Arabidopsis thaliana: one gene and its partners. The protein of the gene in region 2 interacts with the protein of the main gene of each other region in a pairwise test. Each region holds a gene or a part of one and is shown on either strand. Other genes may lie near its edges. The genes, in order: AT1G25510, NRT1.1 and KT2.

Evidence for each region.
Region 1: the proteins of NRT1.1 (region 2) and AT1G25510 interact in a protein complementation assay, tested with the Arabidopsis thaliana proteins (one large-scale study listed by BioGRID).
Region 3: the proteins of NRT1.1 (region 2) and KT2 interact in a protein complementation assay, tested with the Arabidopsis thaliana proteins (one large-scale study listed by BioGRID).

What each region holds. Positions count from the first base shown.
Region 1 is NC_003070.9:8,957,824-8,962,984, forward strand, and holds AT1G25510 (Eukaryotic aspartyl protease family protein), read right to left. Parts: upstream 3,361-5,161; 5' UTR 3,001-3,360; coding exon 1,549-3,000; 3' UTR 1,264-1,548; downstream 1-1,263. Other genes in the region: AT1G25520 (Uncharacterized protein family (UPF0016)), read left to right, coding at 4,501-4,518, 4,609-4,677, 4,995-5,054, 5,141-5,161.
Region 2 is NC_003070.9:4,103,272-4,110,853, reverse strand, and holds NRT1.1 (nitrate transporter 1.1), read right to left. Parts: upstream 5,632-7,582; 5' UTR 5,514-5,631; coding exon 5,399-5,513; intron 5,214-5,398; coding exon 5,036-5,213; intron 4,942-5,035; coding exon 4,902-4,941; intron 4,728-4,901; coding exon 4,153-4,727; intron 2,429-4,152; coding exon 1,564-2,428; 3' UTR 1,253-1,563; downstream 1-1,252. UniProt on the Arabidopsis thaliana protein: Dual affinity nitrate transporter. Involved in proton-dependent nitrate uptake and in the regulation of the nitrate transporter NRT2.1.
Region 3 is NC_003071.7:16,928,125-16,935,627, forward strand, and holds KT2 (potassium transporter 2), read left to right. Parts: upstream 1-2,430; 5' UTR 2,431-3,040; exon of another isoform or gene 3,041-3,288; 5' UTR 3,289-3,320; coding exon 3,321-3,365; intron 3,366-3,447; coding exon 3,448-3,682; intron 3,683-3,769; coding exon 3,770-4,015; intron 4,016-4,106; coding exon 4,107-4,160; intron 4,161-4,245; coding exon 4,246-4,506; intron 4,507-4,586; coding exon 4,587-4,639; intron 4,640-4,722; coding exon 4,723-4,840; intron 4,841-4,942; coding exon 4,943-5,197; intron 5,198-5,274; coding exon 5,275-6,392; 3' UTR 6,393-6,545; downstream 6,546-7,503. Other genes in the region: ETG1 (E2F target protein 1 (ETG1)), read left to right, coding at 6,803-6,970, 7,219-7,332, 7,421-7,503. UniProt on the Arabidopsis thaliana protein: Low-affinity potassium transporter. Could mediate the potassium-dependent cell expansion in growing tissues.

The DNA of each region.
Region 1 (5,161 bases), 4.9 Mb from region 2:
GACCAAAACCAAATTTCATGGAAGCATCTTTGAATAAATATCACAAGAGTTGAGAGAGAGAGAAGTGAGGGAGAATAGTCAATGAGAGGAAAAGAAAAGAAACGTGAATCAAAGAAGAAATATGAAAAACGATGAGAGAAGAGAGTGAGGCAAAGAAGTTTTGTCAGAGCGGTTCTTCTTCTTCTTCGTCTTCTTCCTTTTTATTGGATAAGCAGTGGTCGTTTTCAGATCACACTTTCTCCCTCCGTAACTATTCACGTTTTTTTCTTTTTAATTTTCCTATCACAAAATTATTTCTTTTCTTTTTTGGTTCGTTGCTTTATTTCTGTTTGTTATTTGGAAATGGACCTTTAATGCATATAACAGAAAAATTGCATATAGTTTTCTCAAACTTTATGTCAAAGTTTTTATAAATTCACCTACAAGGGAAGTGTGGTAAATGTTTGATATAAATTGTATTATATAATTATGTATTCTTCTTCTTTTTTTTGCTTGGACGTTGTTTAATGTACGTATGAATTGTATACCTCATTATTCAGATATTTAAAAGAACCGGTCAAAATCATCTATTGAATCTACGACTCTTTGTTTTTTCTGTCAACAAATATACCACTATTTTAATTGTGAAAATATTAACAAAAACATTGAATTTTATCCAGGTTTTTTGCTCTTATGGCATAAGTTTTATGTCTAGCATGAAACTGTAAAAGTAAGAGAATGTTTTTGGATGAACAAAGGAGAAAGTAAAAGGTTGACATATAAAAAGGAGAAAGGAAAATAAAGCTTTTTTTTAAGGACAAAATGATTGAACCCATAGCTGCCACTTCATATGTTGTGATGGCAAGTAGTGGCACCATGACTTCGCCACCTCTCTTTGTGCCATGTTTTTTTCTTTCTCTTTTGATAATATAAATCTCTGTGCCATGTTACTCTTTTAAAAAATACTGTTTACATAGAATGATTAGAGTTCATTAAACATATCCAATAGAATATCACCAGAGTTAATTTAGTTTTGTGTAAATTCATCTTCCATAAACATATCACTTTTTTCTTTGTTTCATATCAGTTAGTACTAGGGATTACACTTTCATGATCATAACTCATATAAGAGATTGTATTTTCAATCATTCGTTTCTTGGTTTACAAAGATTTTGTTATTTTGTATCACATCACATATTGTATTTGGGCTTAACTTCTTCGATCACACATTGTATTTGGGCTTTAACTCTCAACACTACGAGTATTCATGCGTCATAGAAAAGAAGGAGTCATTCATTCGTGTGTGATGTGACCTGTAACAAGGCCCCTCAAGATTCATTGTTCTACTCTTTAATCATAAAATTAGCAAAAACAAATTCCATCTTTTTTTTACTCTTTTTCACTCTATGCATTGCAACAACAAGTACAAGAAACAAACACAACCAAACAGTAGTACAGTACTCTAACTTAACATTACTATCTTTTAAGTGACTTTTCCTTTTCATTGTAACTCAAATATATTTATAGAAAAAACAGCTTAGCATTTTTGTTTTTTTTGATGAAAACAGCTTAGCATTTATTAGACGAGAATCCAATGAGAGAATTTGCCAAATCGAAAGTGACACGTGTCCCTTGTTGCTGCACGTTTCCGATAATCGCTAGTGAACTCGCCGTCGGTGCAAATGCCAAACAAAATGTCCCCACCGAGTCAACCGGAATCATGTAGTTCTTCGCCGGCAAAGCCAACATCTTCCCGCCGGGGAAATGAAAAGCCACGGTCGGGACTTCTACCGTCGTCTTAGCCGAAAGGTTATAACACGTGTCAAACATCGCCACCCCGGCTGCTTTTTCCAAGTCCAACGTTCCTTTCACGAACGAGTCTCTAAGCGAGTTATAGATTTCGGTCTGGAGACGAGTCACGGCGGTTCCTGAGTCGATGATGATCCCACCGCTGCCTGACTCGTCCATCTCGAAAGAAGACTGAGGAATCTGAAGCAACTCGCCGCCGACGCTTATTCCGGTGAGGCCTAGGTAGTAAAACGTGTCGAGCTGGTGGTTACGTAGCAACGGAGCCACGACGGCGTCAGGAGAAAGAGAAGTCCCGAAATCCACGGTCGAAGCCGAGTCTGAGTCACGGTCAACGAGACAGTACGAGAACGACGTCGTGTTGAGCTGCGACGGAAGAGCTAACAAACCACCGCCGAGTCCAAGTAAACCGGCGGCGCCGACGAACAACCCTTCGTTGCTGTGTCCACAACCAACGGCGACGTTTTGAACTAGAGTTGAGCCGATTGTGAGAGTCTCGGTGGCGAAATCTCCAACGGTGTAAGAACCATCACCGTAAGAAACCTCGTAAAGACACGTGGCGTTTCTACATTCTGAGACTTCAAGGGCATTGCACTGTGGAGTGTCACAAGAGAGAGGCTCGTAAGAAGAAGACGACGATGGCTCGAAGATTGGTTCGGTTTGGTGGTAACAGTCAGCGCAAGGAGTACATTGTAGCCAGTTCACGTCACTTCCAGTATCTAGAACCATATAAACTTCACGCGCCGGTTTTCCGATACCGACGCGTGTGAAGTACTCGCCACTTCCTTGAGTCGTGCCGGAGATTAAAGGAGCTTCGATATCTTGTTCCTCAGTGGTGTACATTGTGCTGATGGGTTTGAGATCTGCTTTGGATATGTTGTTGATGGCTAGATCTAAACGGGTTATGAGAGATTTGACTCGGGCTGTGTCACGGTTGAGTCTGGCTAGTGTGAGTGACTTATAGTCTGAGTGTTCAGTTCCTCGGACGGAAACTCGTGAATGAAGCTGCAAGCTGAAAGAAGAAGAAGCAGAGTGAGTCTGTTCTTCTTGCTGGTTTAACCGAAACGACGACGTATACTTGGTTCTGTGGATGGAGTCAGCGACATTGAGAATTGAGGTAGTGGTTGTGGAGGTCTCTGGTAAGATTCTGGAGAAAACAGAAGAGTGTGAAGTGAGGAAGAAGATGAAGAAGAAGAAGGAGTAGTTAGGAGACATTTTTTAGATTCCGACCGTTAACAGTGAAGAAGATGAAGTGAATGAGGTTTATTAAAGAGAAGACAAAAGTGTGTTTGGTGGGGAAGGGAAAATGAGACAAAAGCTTCTTTTAATTAAAACAAAGACAAGCTGTGTTTTGGGGGTTTGCAGATTTCGAGGAGATTTATATAAGTAAGTATCTCTTCTTGAAGAATTAATCCAAAGATTAGATAAATGGTTAAAGAGGAAGAGGAGGTTTCTTCATCCTCTTTAAGTGTGAGGATTTAAATAAACTTGTTTTATGATCTCAATGCGGTTAGTGTGGAGATTGTTGTTTTAGATTTTATTAAGTCAGCCACTTTTGAGTGTTTCACATCTTCGCACTTTGACAAATTTTATTTGGCTATGAGCTTAGCTTTGTTAATGATGACTTTCATTCAAATTATAACAGCTCACTTATTTCATTTTATCCAGACCTATGTCTATAAAGCTATATGATACTAAACAATTAACCTAAAAAGAAAGCTATAACTGTAAACCAATACATACATACGCAATCTGACAACAACAAAAAAACATACATATGCATATCATGTTAAGGTATTAACAATGTGGAGGAATTTGCTGACTTAAAAATGGTGAATTTATGGTCCCTCATGGGCCTGTGGGTAACTCTTATCTAGGCTTTTAACTTGGATGTTTGGGCCATTTCATACCCCAAGTCTACTACATTAACTCATTAACCTTGCTGCCTAAATCTAAACTATAAATTCTAAAATACACTTCTAATCTCAGCTTAACATGATATGCAGTTGAGATAGATAGAATATTGCCACCTGATTTTAGTTATTCATCAATTTTAGAATTAAATAAATTAATATTAATATAAGTACAGTTGGATCAAATCAAATATAATTACATACGTTTGCGAATCAATTCGCCACCAATCAGAAATCGGTCAATTTTTTTTTATTTGTATAAAATAGTAGGATAAAACGAAATAAAATTTAGTTGAGATAAGCGAAAAATACTAAAATACCCAATCAGTTTTGAGCATCTCTCAAAAACTTACGTGTTATACTATTCTAAACGTTACGTCTCAATCGTGATCGCGACAAGTTAGTTATCAAAGAAGTAAAAGTCTTTATTGTTTTGCTCGAGCAAGTGACGCAAGTCGCAAACAACAACACAAGGGAACAAATTAACATCTTCTAAACTCAAGTTGGGTTTTCTGGGTCCCACACATTAAAATCGTTGGTTGTTATCAATCCACGTGGTAAGATCTTAAGGGTTAAAGAATCAGAATCAAATTCACCTACAATCCCCAAAAAAAAAGGATTCATCTTTTAGCTCTTCAGCGAATGTTCGTCTCGTCTATTTGCTCTCTCTCGACGACTGTTAATTAACTCCGGCGATTGATCACTCCGTCTTCTTTGTAACACAGCCGGAGAAAAATCGAAAGTTTCGTTTTTTTCTTCTCCTTCGTAGCTAATTCGCCGTCGATTTTATAATTCGGCAGCCATGAGCTCGGTTTTGCAGGTAGAGTAAAAGATTAATGTTTTCTGGGGAGTAAACTCGTAAGAATCGTTGTGGAGCTAATCTGGGTTTATGATTGTTGGGGTTTTATAGGGTTTTACGAAGTCACTTGCTATGACCTTTGTATCGGAGATTGGTGACAAGACGTTTTTCGCTGCAGCAGTAAGTGTTTCGTCTCCTCTTCGCTTTAGTTTTAGATTTTGTTGCTTCATGTAATCTATTGAGGGTTTAAGGTCGATGAAGTCAATGGCTTTTACATGAATCGAAGTCTAAAGTCTTACTTATTGGATTGCCTTTTCCTGATTAAGAATCTAGATGGCATCTTTGGATCCTTTGTCTGTAGCTTTTATATTGCCATTCAGTTTCATAGTGTTTTGGTAGTTTAGAATCTGCCACAGGCTCTTTGAAGGTGTGTAAGATACTTCTGTTGTTATCTTGATTTTGCAAGCTTAAACTCTTTTTTTTTTTTGTCATATCAGATTTTGGCTATGCGTTATCCTAGGAGACTTGTGTTGGCTGGTTGTTTATCGGCTCTGATTGTAAGTTTTTCTGAATGCTTTGACCTATTGGTTTCAGTGACCTCTCTCCATAGATTTTGAAGCTTATGTCTTTGTTTAATTCTTAGGTTATGACTATCCTCTCTGCT
Region 2 (7,582 bases):
TGTATTTAGCGCAAAAACCACATGATGTTCTTTAAAACTGTTTTGAATTTATTACAAAAAAACGTTCTAAATGATTTTGAATTGCTTAATTAGTTTGGATTTTAGAAGCTGAAAGAAAGACACAACAACTTAAAATAATCTAAAGAGTCATGCTTAAATAAATCCAACCAACATAACTATCGAACCTGTTGCAACACAACAATATTTGTCACAAAAAAAAACAATCGTTTCAGAGGGACAAGATATTCTAAAGTAAAGACTTGTCAAGCATTAACTTTGAAGAGAAGATTGTATTGGCTGAGTGATAGGGTTCTCTTCATCCATTGTTTTCTGTTTTTTCCTTGGTCGTCCTTGAGGTTTCTTGGGTGGTTTTGGCACTGCTTTACGCTTGCATGAACGTTTGTTGTGTCCGACTTGTTGACAGTTGCTGCAAGTCTAAATATGCAAAGATTAAATTAAATAATTTGAAAAAGAAGATCTTGTGAAACATAATTCATTGTTTTCTATTTTACCATTTGAACTTTTTCACGTGTATAAGGAACTTTTTGAGGTGGACGATCTTCAGTTGGATCACGGATTCTGTCATTGTTCTTTGGTCGATTTTTGGAAATTAATATCCCATTAATATTTAATTACTGTAGGGTTAAGTTTATTAACAGGTTTTAGTTCAGGGTTTGTTTTACTAAAAACATAGTTCAGGGTTTAAAAATGGATCTGGCCAAAATTGAGGGTTTTTTTCATTAAATTCCCTATAAACAATTCGATAGTAATTCATCGAAATTATAGCTAATAATTGGTATTTATCTGATTGAAAAATAATTGAAAAAAAAAACTGGATTGTTGATCAGTTTAGACTTTAGACTGATGATTCTTTATCCAATTAGCTACATAGTTGAAAGATATAAAAGTATATATCCAAAAAATAAAAGTAACAAGTGTAAACAAATAAAAGTAATATTCATCATTTGTCATATTTAATTTGTATTCATCATGATTATATATGTTTTGGACTTAATCATGCAGCTCCTTGATAATTCAAATTAATCACTTGACCAGTAGTCATCGAGAGACAATTGAGCCAGTAAATTCACAGAGCTCGGTCATAATTCAATTATAGTTTTAAAGACAACTTTTTTTGTTTACCAATATTACAAAAGAAAGGTGTGATAGTCCACTAGGCACTAGCTAGTGGCCTAGACGCCTAGTTCTGGTCCAAATTATTCACATATTCGAAAACAAACGATACCAAAACAAGTGAGAAAACAAACGTTGAATGGTATGATAATTTACTGGGAAAAAATGAAAAATGGAAATTGAAGACAAAAAGACGTTAATTGCGTCAAATCTTAAGAAATGTTACAATTTCTGCTTTTATACAGAACCTGATGGGAAAACTTTAACTTTTATCCCTTATCGGTCGGTCCATTATTTGTCGACTCGGAAACAAGAGGTAATTAAGAAAAGCATCATAAAATATACAAACAAAACTCAAAATCAAATTCAAACATATCAACATAGACATGCATAATGTTCATCATCATGATCATGATCATGAATTCATGATCAATGACCCATTGGAATACTCGGCTCATCATCCAACTCAATCCCCACCTCAGCTAGTCTTTTTTCCTTGTAAACGTACCACTTGGAGAAAACTAGGAAAATGAGGAAGTTCAAGGCAACAAGTACGGCCACAAGCCAGTAGAAATTGTAAAGACGGCCCTTGTTGAGATCATCGGCAATCCATGGATGAGCTTTCCCGGTGAATTTCTCGACGATTGTCACGAGAACCGAGCTGAAGAAAAAGCCTAATGCCAATGTGCTCAACAATAGACCCGTGCTCATCCCTTTCATACCTTTAGGGCACTCTCTCAAGAAGAAATCTAACTGTCCTGTGTAGATTAACGCTTCGCCGATACCGACAATAAGATATTGTGGGATGAGTAGATAAAACCCTAGAGGAAGCGTTTTGACTGTTGGACCATGAGCGTGTGCAGTTCTAAGACGTTTGAGCTCGACCAAAGCAGCCACAGCCATAGCCATTGATCCGAAGAAAAGCCCCAAACCGATCCGTTGAAGCGGTCTTAGACCATGGGGGTAGTTGAATAGCTTTTTGCATAGACGAATGGCGACGCGGTCATAGACGGCGGTGGTTAGGAGGAGGCCACCGACGTAGAAGACTGCCATCGATGCTGGAGGGATCTCGAAGCTCCCGATGGAACGGTCCAATGTCTCGGATTGTGCGACTGATAATGTCGTTAATTGAGCGTGGACGGTCCAGAAGAGGATGCATGTTGCCCAAATTGGTAACATTCGCACGATTTGTTTCACTTCCTCAACATCTGTTAGTGTTGAGAGTGTCCACTTGTTGAATACATTCGAGGTAACTCCCGCTTCCTGATCCCTTATTGCTGCCTTATCTAATGAACTGTGGCATCAAAAATGATATAAGGAATAATTAGAATATAATAGTAAATTATGTAAAATGGAGATAAAATATTTTACATATATTGGATTAAAGATAAGTATCTGATTTTTCAAACCAAAGATCTTTTGTGTGTTTCTTAGAAAATTATGAAGTGTCCCTATTTATTGAAATTTCATATCAATAATACATTGTTTCTTTTTTTGGAATATAGCTTACGCATTGAATATTTGAATCAACATGTTGTGGAGATAGTTACGTGGAATCTTTTCAAGATGATATATCCTTCACACACATGCATGACAAATACGTAATTGCTTTTAAAATAGTGTAGGCAAAAAAAAGTTAAGAGTTTGAATTTATGGAAAAGTGTAAAAGGTTTTTTCTTTAGTTTTCAACTACCTTTTAGAGAGACCCAAACGAAAGAGAAATTTAATGAAGCACCGAGCACGCAAAGCACGTGTCGTGCATGTGACGCTAGGGTTCTTAATTATGCCTAACTTTGGGTCTGTCCCGGTGAAGGTGTAAAGTAGTGGAGGTGCTACGACACGATATTTGATCGTTTTCACTACAGACAAAACACCTGCCTCCCTACCCTAACTTCTCGTCTCTTCTTCTTTATTAGTTTTATTTCCGAGAAAGGGATTCCAATATCTAGAGATGCTAAATAGATTTTCCATAAATTATCTGGTATAAAGAAAAATTGATTCCTTTGGATTCTTTTATTTCTATGTAGGTATGCATAGGGATTGATGGATAAAAGATACTGTACTTAAGTTAGCAAAAATAAAAGATACCGTACTTAAAGGGGGAAAACTCACGAGTCAGGGGAATATAAATATAGATATATGTGTGTCAGTGTATGTGTATTTAAAGTTATAAGGCATTAGAATCATAATCATAATTATAATACTATAATAAAGATAAAATAGCAAATTGGTGTATTTAATTTTCCGCAATGATGAAGATACTCTTTCTGTAAAAACCAAATATTCTACGAGTGGGTGTGAAATTTTTTATAGGCAAAAAGTAAAGATGGAGAATTTTACCCCACTTGATATCACTTGCATATACTTATTCATTTGTTTATCTGAATTACTTTATCTTTCCGACTAATTCCGAGAGACTACTTTTATTTTCCTACCTATTCTATGAACCGAACTTAACGTGTTATCTAACAAAGATATACACATGCACACACACATAGGATTTTAAGGAAAAAATATACAATATAAAATGCCAAAGTAGGGACTTTGAACCCAAAAATCCAAAAATGTTGTAATTAGCTGTATAATTCGTATCCTGGACCAGTTTCGCTGTATGGTCGAGTAATAATATTATGAAAATAATTTATTTTCCCCGTAACAAAAGACAAAGAAAGATATTCAACACCTTTTAATTAATTTATAATGGCTGTCAAAAAAAAATGATTTCTAATGCCAAGTAGGCATATAATGAGAAATATTTACGGTCCCACTATAATTAAAGGACACGAGCATTTCGAGTTATTTCTCACCCACACAACCCCACTTTTAATTTCACATTTTTAAAGTCTACTGATACTATCACATTTAATTAAGGGAACCAGTACCTCAATTATTTCAATTAACCCTTAAATGGAAAAGAAAAAGAAAAATTTTAAAACTTTTATCTTAAAATTTAAATCATTGTAAGTTTTGAGGATCGTACGTGGAAAGCAAATGATGAGTTAATTAAAAGAATCGTACCGGAATTGTTCAGTGTGTGGCAGCTTTTGTTTACCCTTCATCGAACCTTCCGCCGCAATAATATCATCCACATCGTAGAGATAGGACGGATCTGCCGGCAGCTCGAGCTTCCTATTCCTCCACGCCGCCACGATAACCGCAGCAACCTGCGTCATCGGGCTACCGATCAACTTCTTGAAACGGTAGCGGTTTGTTCCGGCCAAGAAAACGCTGAGTGCAAGCACGATCGCAAACGCGCAAATTCCATAGCCCCATTTGCGTCCAACATCGTCTTGTACGTAGACAAGGACCGTCACAGCTAAAAGAGAGCCAACGTTGATACAAAAGAAGAAACGGTTGAAGAAATATGTCATTTTCGATCGTTCTTTTGGTTCGGTCTCATCGAATTGGTCCGACCCGAAACCCGAGACACTAGCCTTCACGCCTCCCGTTCCTAGAGCGGTGAGGTATAAGGCTAAGTATAGGACCGTCAGTTGTATTCCACTTGCTTGTTCGCAGTGAGACGACGTTGTTGGATTGCATCTTGGTGGTCGAAGTCCCGGTATGATTGTTGATAGAGTTAAGATTGAAACACCCTGATAGCATCATAGTTCATAACACGGATATTATTTTTCGGAAAACTATAACAAAAATAACGACTTATGCTGTTTACTATTTCGATTTGTTTATTGACTAGACAATATTTTTATTTTCTTCGTTTTCTTGGGTATAAGTTTTGGTAAGGAGAAAGGGACTTTTGAGGTCCTTACCGTGGCTTGGATTGCGGCGAATATAGCAATCGTTAGGTACCTATACAAAACAAAATGAATGAACTCAAATTAATATTTTAAAAAGAATCTGAATGATTTTAGTTAAGTAAATATAAATATATTTATAGACAAACCTGCCGAGAAAGGTATCGGCGATGAAGCCACCGAGGAGACAGAGCATGAAAGAAGTTCCGAGGAAATTGGTAACGGTGTTAGCCGCAGTTGCATTGCCTAAATGCATAGTTCCCGTCAAATACGTCACCAGATTAACTCCGATACCTAACGTCGTCAGCCTCTCCACGGCCTCAATACCTTCACACAATAAAATTTTGTTAATGATAAAGTTGGATACATCGAGAATACATAAAAGAATAAGAATGATAGCCATAAGAAACTTATAACTTAGTAAATGCCATTAAAAAGTTTCAATTCTTGTCTTCAGCATGTATATTGTTGGTAGCTTTTCTCTAGAACTTTTATTATGTGATTATACTTACAAAGAATCATGGCGGCGCTGGCCCAGCCGCCGGTTTTTGAGCGATCGGCGGGACGGCCTTGGAAGTCCCAAGCATCAAGAAGGATATCATCAGATTTAGTTTCAGGAAGAGACATCTTGAAGATGGATTAATGATCTCTCTCTTTTTTTTGCAGTTTTTGGGGGTGTTTGTTCTTATGTAAAAGGCTGTTTTGTTTGAGAGCTCTTGGTTTCTTTTGTGGTCTTAAATGTGTTCGTTGATACATCTATTTATACTGGGAAACTAGCCAAGTTAAAAAAGTTTTTATTGTTTTATTTTGATTTTTTATTCATAAAACTAAAATATTGAAGAAAAAAGTGACACATGTGTGACTCTGATGAGTGTTGTTTGATTGGGGAGAGAATAATTAATAATAATAACTACTACTGTAACTGTAGTATATATTTGTAGAAAGAGAAAATTGAGAGAGAGAGAAAGAGACCATACCTAAATTTTACCACTTCCTCTACCTTTGGAACTGTGGGCTTGAACTTTTAAGTTGAAGTCATCGGTCATTTTGTCAGTGATTCAATGGCATTAGCCATTAAAAGCACCAGTTTTAGCCACCACCTGTTTTACATTTGTTCTATTTCTTGGAAAATTATTTTACTTCCATGAAAGATAATACAGTATGTTTTTTACGTCTGTACTATATATGGAAAATAATTCAAAATAATTGATTTCTGTGTTACAAACGCATTTTCATCAATATTGTTCATTTGAGATTTTGTAGTATTGTCGAGGCATATCTATTTCGTTTTTTGAGTTTGCCCAAAAGAAAAAAAAAATCTATTTCGTTTTTTGTTTGCTCAATATCAACTTTACTTCTAGGCCCATTCAGTTGTTCTGCAGCACAGCCATATCACAAAAATTTATTGATAATCGACTCATATTAATTTGAGAGTCATGTTTTCTTTCACATGTAATTATCAAATTATAATTTTATTGCATATAGTTTGAGGAAACTATTAAATTATATGAAATTTCAATCAAAACATCTTTATAGAAGTCAATAAAAGTCCTTTTAGGTATTTGCTTTTTGTTTGTCAACAATCTAGGTCTTTGTTACAAAATTGAAACCAAAGATTTGTAGATGTTGGTATGATTACGTACCAATTTTTTCTTCTTTTGTGTTAATGGGAAAGTCTACCTTGAGATTTAATGGCTCAAAATGAATGCTTCTTAGACGCCACTAAAATGAATCATGCTGCAATATGATTATTACCCTACTTTCCATTTATTTAACGTATAGTGAAATAAAATAAATAAAGAGCATGGTCACAGGACTTTCATGAACTATATATATAATTGGAAGTCTCGCAACTTCAATGGTTCTCTTTCTCTCTGGAGAAAACATATATAGGAGTATAAAGAAGAAGAACAAAGGTCATTTTCATTTTATAGAGCCAACAGAAAAATAAAAATAATTTATTCCAACAATTTGTAAGAGATGGTTAGTTAGTTTTATTAATAAGTCTCAAAGTCTATGTAAAATATCCAATATAAAAAACGAGTCAATTTTCAAGAAAAGCAAGAAATTGTATGTTACAGAAGTAAAACATACATTTGAATCAGTTTTTTATTTATTTATTAAGTAATTGATGAATTTCTATCCTCAATTAGTTAATTTTCGAAATTTATAAAATTTATTGTATACTATGTGTCATGATCCATCTCTTTCCGAGTTATTGATATGCAGATCGATGAAATTTTGAACCCATCAATAAACACTTTCTTCGTTGCTAGTTTCATATTGCTAAATTTACTATAATATCCCCAACAATCGATTATTTTGTACACATCCAAAGATTGTGGAAGAGCGAGAACAAAAAAGTCACAATGAAGAGTCCCATCCAAAAAGAAAAAGAGAACGAGTGGTGAACCCAAATATATTATCTTCTATTGAAATTAAATTAATAAACACATCCTCCGAAAAGGAATAAGAAAATAAATTAATGGAAACTTATAAAAATAAACCCTAACTTCAAAATTGGAAAATAAAAATGAAAATGGATGGATCAAATGTTTTGGGCGGAGCTGGCTTTTGCTTATAGGTATATCTCAGGGCCCAGATTTTTGGCACGTGATAGTTGGTAGGACCACGTGAGATTCTCCCTCAGCGTTGACTCGGTCATTTCAAGAGGATGAATCTTAATCGACATTAGC
Region 3 (7,503 bases), on a different chromosome or scaffold from region 2:
TGAATTGTCTCATTTCCTCGTGTTGATGGGAGTTCATGTATTCATGTATGTAATACAACTCATAATAAAAAAACTGTATTTGTCAGTTGTAAAACTCTTTTTTTTTGTTATTAAAATGGAATATTTTTCTATAACACTAAAAGAGAGTAATTTACCCACAATAATATAAAACAGGCAGGGATTAATCCAAGAATTTTCTTTTGATAAATATGTGGATATATAACTCTCTCTCTCTTTTCAGGTGTGTGTTTTAACTTATATCCAAGAATCTTGTGGTATATTTATCTAGTTTTATGTTATCAAAAACATAAATGAAATAAAAATATGGGAAAGAAAACACAAAAACATTCTGTCAGTTGGTGACAAAAGGAACATTCTGTCGGTTATACAGTCTTTAACCATTCACCAAAGCAAGTTGTTTATAAATTAACATCGAAAACTATGCATATTTTGGCTTACTGGCCCGTTAACAAAGCATAAAAAAAGTATTTATCGTTCTCTGTTTTTTACTGCCTAAAATCTTTCCAGATTTGGAATTACATTGGCTTATAAATGTACGTTAATGAGTAAACACTAAATCACAGCATCCCATATCGCCAACTAAGAAACTCAATTATCTCCCAAGTAAATTTTACTTACCATCACCAATCTATCATCACTTGTTACCCATTTTACCAAGAAAAAACGAAAAGTTTCTTTCCCATAATATATATGCCGCCGATTGCCAAGAAAAACAAGATTTTCATTCCTAGATTGTGTTTGCGGGTAAACAATAAAAAGAAGAAGAAAATGGTCAATTGGTTAAGAAACTCTAATAAGTAAAAACAAAATGGTTTCGTGTAAGATCAATTCGAATTCATTTTTATTTTGGCAAAATTGCAAAAATTAATAAGAGTTGATAGTAGACGACAAACATTTTCTTGTACACTAATTACTGTAACAGTCACATTATTATAATGAAAGAGGGATTCAGCAATCCTAAAATATGATTTGTAATTTCATAATCATTAATTAAATCGCCCAATTTTGAACTTTTTAATCTTAAAACTTCGGAAAATGATTGGTCTATATTTGTGCCCAATATATATATATATATATATATATAAGTATAAATAATAAGTTCTATTCTTAAGAATCATTAGTATATCCTAAAACCTGCTTTTGGCAATCAAGAAAATAACTTGCAAAAAACCCATGGCGAACCTAATCTTCACTAAAACAGACTCCAGAAAAAGAGTGTTCCAAGCAAAATCTTGATGATATAAGAGACTCCAGAAAACAATCGTCTCTCTAGTGAGCTTCACATATCAACAGTGTATAAGTTTTTGACTAGCAAAAAACAAATATCGTTCACATTTGACTGATACATCATACACCAAACTGAAAAGACAGCATTCCCCAAATCACGTATAGAATCTTAAATCATATAAAATACATTTTGTTCTTTGCTTTGAAATATCAAATGTTAGTGTGATTTGTCGTCATGCAACGCATGCATATAATATTAATTTATTATTTGATTTGGTAATAAGTCTCTTTATACATGCATTGAATCCACCGACCAAGTCTACTATATGCTTTGAAAGTTTGAATTATATAATAATAGAAAAGATTGTTGTGAAGAGCAAGCTGAATCGATTTGGAGAATTGGATTCCGATCTGGTTTTATAATTGTTCGACTACAATAATGTCAAATGGGATAGCAAGAAAATAATGTATAAAGGTTGAAATTGCGCAACACCTAACAAAAGGGAGAGAAAGAAAACACCCCAAAAACAAAAAGGTAGAGGAAGAAACACATAAAAGAGGAGTGAAAGAGAAAGAAGCATAAAAAGAAAGGAATAGAAATAGAGCACCAATCAATGACTTCAAATTCAATTATTTCGAAACAAATTTTTAAATTTATAGATTACTAAAAATCAACAAACTTTTATAGAATAAATTTGTAAATCTATGATTCATTAGCTAAACAACTAATTTTTACACACTAAAACAATTCAGAGATGTGTACAAATAAAGACATGTGTTAAATAATAATAATTATTTGTAAAAAAATGAGATATAAAAAAGTAGATGCAACCAAATTTTTTAAAAAAAACCTTTAAAATGCCATAAAACCATTCTAAAAGTTTATAACTGTATATATAGATTTGTTATTAATTATTTTATATGTTGCTATTCATTTATTAAATATCATCTAGTTGTTCACCATAATCCATAATAGGGACAAAATCTTAAATACATTTCATATCAATTTTTTTCTTTCTTACAATCTGCCAAGTTAAAGAAATTCACAAATTATAAAAGAGAAATAATAAGGTAGTATTAAAAATTTAATACTAGTGACTATCAATAGATAGTAACAAATACTAATATAAGTATATATTAATTACGCGTTATATATACCTTTTAACAAAATATATTATTGTTGTTGACTGATACAGAGAGAAATAAAAAAAAAAACAGTTTCGATTTTTGTTATTGCAACAAAAAGTTTCGGAAAATAGAGAGAAAAGAGAGTGAGTGAGGTTGGTGATGACCAGATTTTGAGGCTTATCAATAGTACAAAGCTTGCAAAATCAATGGCGCAAATTCTGTTGGTAAGTATAAGAAAAAAAAGAAAAGCTTTTTCCTTTAGATGTCATGTAACTGTCGGGAGAGCACTCACGTGTTTCTGTCTCTTCACCTGTAAATATTCTCGCCACGTTTGCTCTCTTTCTTTTTTTCCCCGAGAAAACGCAAAGACAAAGACGTTTTTTTAATTTGGCTATAGCATGTGGAGGCTATGGGTTCTTATCTTGTATCGTCGTTCTTTGTCTTCAATATCTTTAATTCAATGATAAGCAGATCATCTCTTTCTTCACTCCTACACATCGATTCACGTCATCCACCCAGAAAAATTCATACTTCAATTAAAAATTCTGTAAGTGGAAAAAACACAGTTGGCAAAATGGGCAAAAGCTAATAATTGATTTATCTCCATTTATGGCTAAAAGCCTAACACTAGGCTCTACACTTTTCAAGTCTTTTCATTTTCTGGGTAATTGTTGTTCAATTTTAGAGATTTAGGGTTTTTGATTGTTCTTCTTTTTCTGGGTTTTATCTAAATTCGTGGATATGAGAATGGCATGTGCGTGAATGTGGCCTACTTTGTTTTCTTCCTTCTAATTTGGGAACAGAGTTTGGTTGTCCTATTTATTGTTACTTTGTAGGTTTCACTCTTTTCGACATTACTTTTCAATTGCTTCAGATTCATAAATCTATCTTCTTCTTTCTTTGGTTGTTCAGCTTTAGCGTGTTAGGCTGAACATTTAAGAACCATGGATCTCAATCTCGGAAAATGCTGTGGTTCTCGTTCTTCTAAGGTTTGTTGTCCATTTTCTTTTAGATTTGCTCAATTTTGGAATTTTGAGCTGAATAAAGATTGGAACTTTGACAATTATGCAGAAGGAATCATGGAGGTCGGTTTTGCTTCTTGCTTACCAGAGTCTTGGTGTTGTCTATGGAGACTTGAGTATCTCTCCGCTTTATGTCTTTAAGAGCACTTTTGCTGAGGACATTCAACATTCAGAGACCAATGAAGAGATCTACGGTGTTATGTCTTTTGTTTTCTGGACTTTAACTTTGGTTCCTTTGCTTAAGTATGTCTTCATTGTCCTCCGAGCTGATGATAACGGAGAAGGTGAGGGGAAGAGACACTTTCAGAGCAGAAAATCATCGAGAAACTTTATTTGCTTTGCTTATGAAGGTTTGTTACATTTGTTTTCAGGTGGAACTTTTGCTTTGTACTCATTGATCTGCCGTCATGTCAAAGTTAGCCTCCTCCCAAACCGACAAGTCTCTGATGAGGCACTGTCCACTTATAAGCTGGAGCATCCACCGGAGAAGAACCATGACTCGTGTGTGAAAAGATATCTGGAGAAACACAAGTGGTTACACACTGCTTTGCTGCTTCTTGTTCTTCTTGGGACTTGTATGGTTATTGGAGATGGACTTCTCACTCCAGCTATCTCCGGTATGTATGCTTCTGTGTTTGTAGACAGATATTCCAGTGTCCAATTGCTAGTTAAAAGAGTTTTCTAATCTTTTCTTTTTCTTGTATGTAGTTTTCTCTGCTGTGTCAGGTCTTGAGCTGAATATGTCTAAAGAACATCACCAATGTAAGTACACAAAGACTGGGTAGTGTTAGTTTTTGCTACTTGAGTTCTGATGAATGATGGCTTCCTTTGTTGTTCAAACGTGCAGATGCAGTAATTCCTATTACCTGCTTCATACTAGTCTGCCTTTTCTCGCTTCAGCATTTTGGGACACATCGTGTTGGGTTTGTTTTCGCGCCTATTGTCCTCACTTGGCTGCTCTGTATAAGTGGTATTGGCTTGTACAATATAATACAGTGGAATCCTCATATATACAAAGCTCTTTCTCCTACATACATGTTCATGTTCTTGAGAAAGACGAGAGTAAGCGGATGGATGTCTCTAGGCGGGATCTTGTTGTGCATAACTGGTGAGATATATAAGAAATCGATATTGTTAATGTCGCCATAAATAATGTCAGTAATCTAACTCGTTGAGTCTTTGTTTTAGGTGCTGAGGCCATGTTTGCTGATCTTGGTCACTTCAATTACGCAGCAATTCAGGTTAGTTTCTACTTTAGCTTGGATGATTTACTTATTGTTATATCGCCACAGGTTTCAATAAATCTTTGTTTTGTTTGCTGTAGATTGCGTTTACCTTCCTGGTTTATCCGGCTCTTATATTGGCATACATGGGGCAAGCTGCTTACTTATCCCGGCATCACCATTCTGCTCATGCAATTGGGTTTTACGTCTCTGTACCAAGTCAGTAATTTGCCTTACTTCAAGAACTCAATTTTTTTTTGGTGTTGATCATTGAAAACGTAATCTGATCTTTTGTTTATATAACTCCATGGTTTTGAACAGAATGTTTGCACTGGCCTGTGCTTGCTGTAGCAATTCTTGCTTCTGTTGTGGGAAGCCAAGCGATCATCAGTGGGACTTTCTCAATCATAAACCAGAGCCAGTCTCTCGGATGCTTCCCTCGAGTCAAAGTCATTCACACGTCCGATAAGATGCATGGTCAGATTTACATACCGGAGATTAACTGGATGCTCATGATTCTCTGCATCGCTGTTACTATCGGGTTTAGAGATGTCAAACACCTGGGAAATGCATCAGGTATGAGATTCTTTTATCAACTCAAGAATTTTGGATTCTTCGACTTTGAGATTATATTCCTTTGTGGTTGGTTGCAGGTTTGGCTGTAATGGCGGTTATGCTAGTGACAACATGTCTTACCTCATTAGTCATTGTTCTTTGCTGGCACAAGCCTCCAATTCTAGCGCTAGCGTTCCTTCTCTTTTTCGGTTCAATAGAACTTCTCTACTTCTCGGCCTCACTCACCAAATTTCGTGAAGGCGCTTGGCTTCCGATCCTCTTATCTCTAATATTCATGATCATCATGTTCGTTTGGCACTACACCACCATTAAGAAATACGAGTTTGATCTCCAGAATAAAGTCTCGCTTGAATGGCTTCTTGCATTGGGTCCAAGCCTCGGAATTTCTCGAGTTCCAGGTATCGGTTTAGTCTTCACGGATTTAACCTCTGGAATCCCCGCCAATTTCTCCCGGTTCGTCACCAACCTCCCTGCCTTCCACCGTGTTCTTGTCTTTGTCTGCGTGAAATCTGTCCCTGTCCCGTTCGTTCCACCTGCTGAGAGATACCTCGTGGGTCGTGTTGGTCCCGTTGACCACCGCTCTTACAGATGCATCGTTCGGTATGGATACCGTGACGTCCATCAAGACGTGGACTCATTCGAAACAGAGCTCGTAAGCAAGCTGGCGGATTTCATCCGTTACGATTGGCACAAAAGAACACAACAAGAAGACGACAACGCTCGTTCTGTCCAGTCCAACGAATCCTCAAGCGAGTCAAGACTAGCCGTGATCGGAACAGTAGCTTACGAGATCGAAGACAATCTCCAACCAGAGAGTGTCTCCATCGGATTCTCCACAGTCGAAAGCATGGAAGACGTCATACAAATGGCCGAACCAGCCCCAACCGCCACCATAAGACGGGTGAGGTTTGCGGTTGAGGAAAACAGTTACGAGGACGAAGGATCAACATCGTCAGCAGAAGCAGATGCGGAACTGAGAAGCGAGCTGAGGGATTTGCTGGCAGCGCAAGAAGCAGGAACTGCGTTTATATTGGGACATTCACATGTGAAAGCGAAACAAGGATCATCGGTGATGAAGAGATTAGCAGTTAATTTCGGTTATAATTTCTTGAGAAGGAACTGTAGAGGACCTGACGTGGCTCTTAAGGTTCCACCTGTTTCTCTTTTAGAAGTCGGCATGGTTTATGTTGTTTGACTTATGAAAAAACTAAATATATGAAAACCTAATTCCTCTGTTGTAAATTCGTCATGTTTAGCTTCATAGATCTCTGTTTCTGTGTTTGTGAGTCTGGGGTTTGACTTTTAACAAATCTTAAGACCAAGATGGTCAGAGGATCATATATGCCAAATGAATTAGTTTATTATACACATGAAACGACATCGTATGGAGAGGGGTCCAAAACGGTGCGTTGGAAGTTGGAGAATGGGCATGGATAATGGCGGGAATAACCTAGGAGATATGGCGGGAAAGGCCCAACTATACACACTTGACATTGCCCTTAATTCGTGTTTGAGCAAAGACTCAATCTTTCATCTCTAGATTCTTGGCGATTCTCGCTACATAGTACTTTGGTAAAGAGTGAAATCAAAGGTTGGTTTTGAGATATGGGAGGACCAGCTTACGATTGTCTGACCAACCCTTTAGGAGCCGTCCGATTCTCCTTCGTAAATGCTCTGTCTTCAGGCTACGATCCGGCTTCGTCTGTCGGAAAAGACTGGGGTGTCGTTGATTTGTTCCGTCACTACTTCTCCGACGAATCTGCTATCTCCCAGGTTTGCCCTAAAACCTTTACTCTGTTTCTATTTTTTTTTGGGTTTAGGGCAATTGAGTATGTTTTGATTAATTACTACCCAATTAGCATAATAGGTTGATTTTTTCGTGTACTTTGGCTCTGTTTCTAAGTAAATCAGCTTACTTTAGGTTTTAGTCTATCCATAGATTGGTTAATTTGGGTTTTTTCAAGGATCTGTTTTGAGATATTTTTCTTAATTAACCGATAGTGTTTTCTTTTGTCTACTAGGTTCCAATTCTTGATTCGTCAAGTATTAAGTGGGTGCAACCCAAGACTCTTGTTCGGTTTCGTGGAATGATACAGGACATGCTTGGGAATGAATTCTATGCTGGTGCTTACAAGGTAGGAATATGACTTTTGATGGTTTCTACTAAAGAAGAATTCAATCTTTATCTATCAGTAACTGTTTCTGTTTTTACGTTCTGTTTAGGATGATTCAACATGGAGAACAAACAAGTACAGTGATGTTTCACAGTTTCCTGAGGGTTCTTCCACTGAAATTCAAGTTTGGGA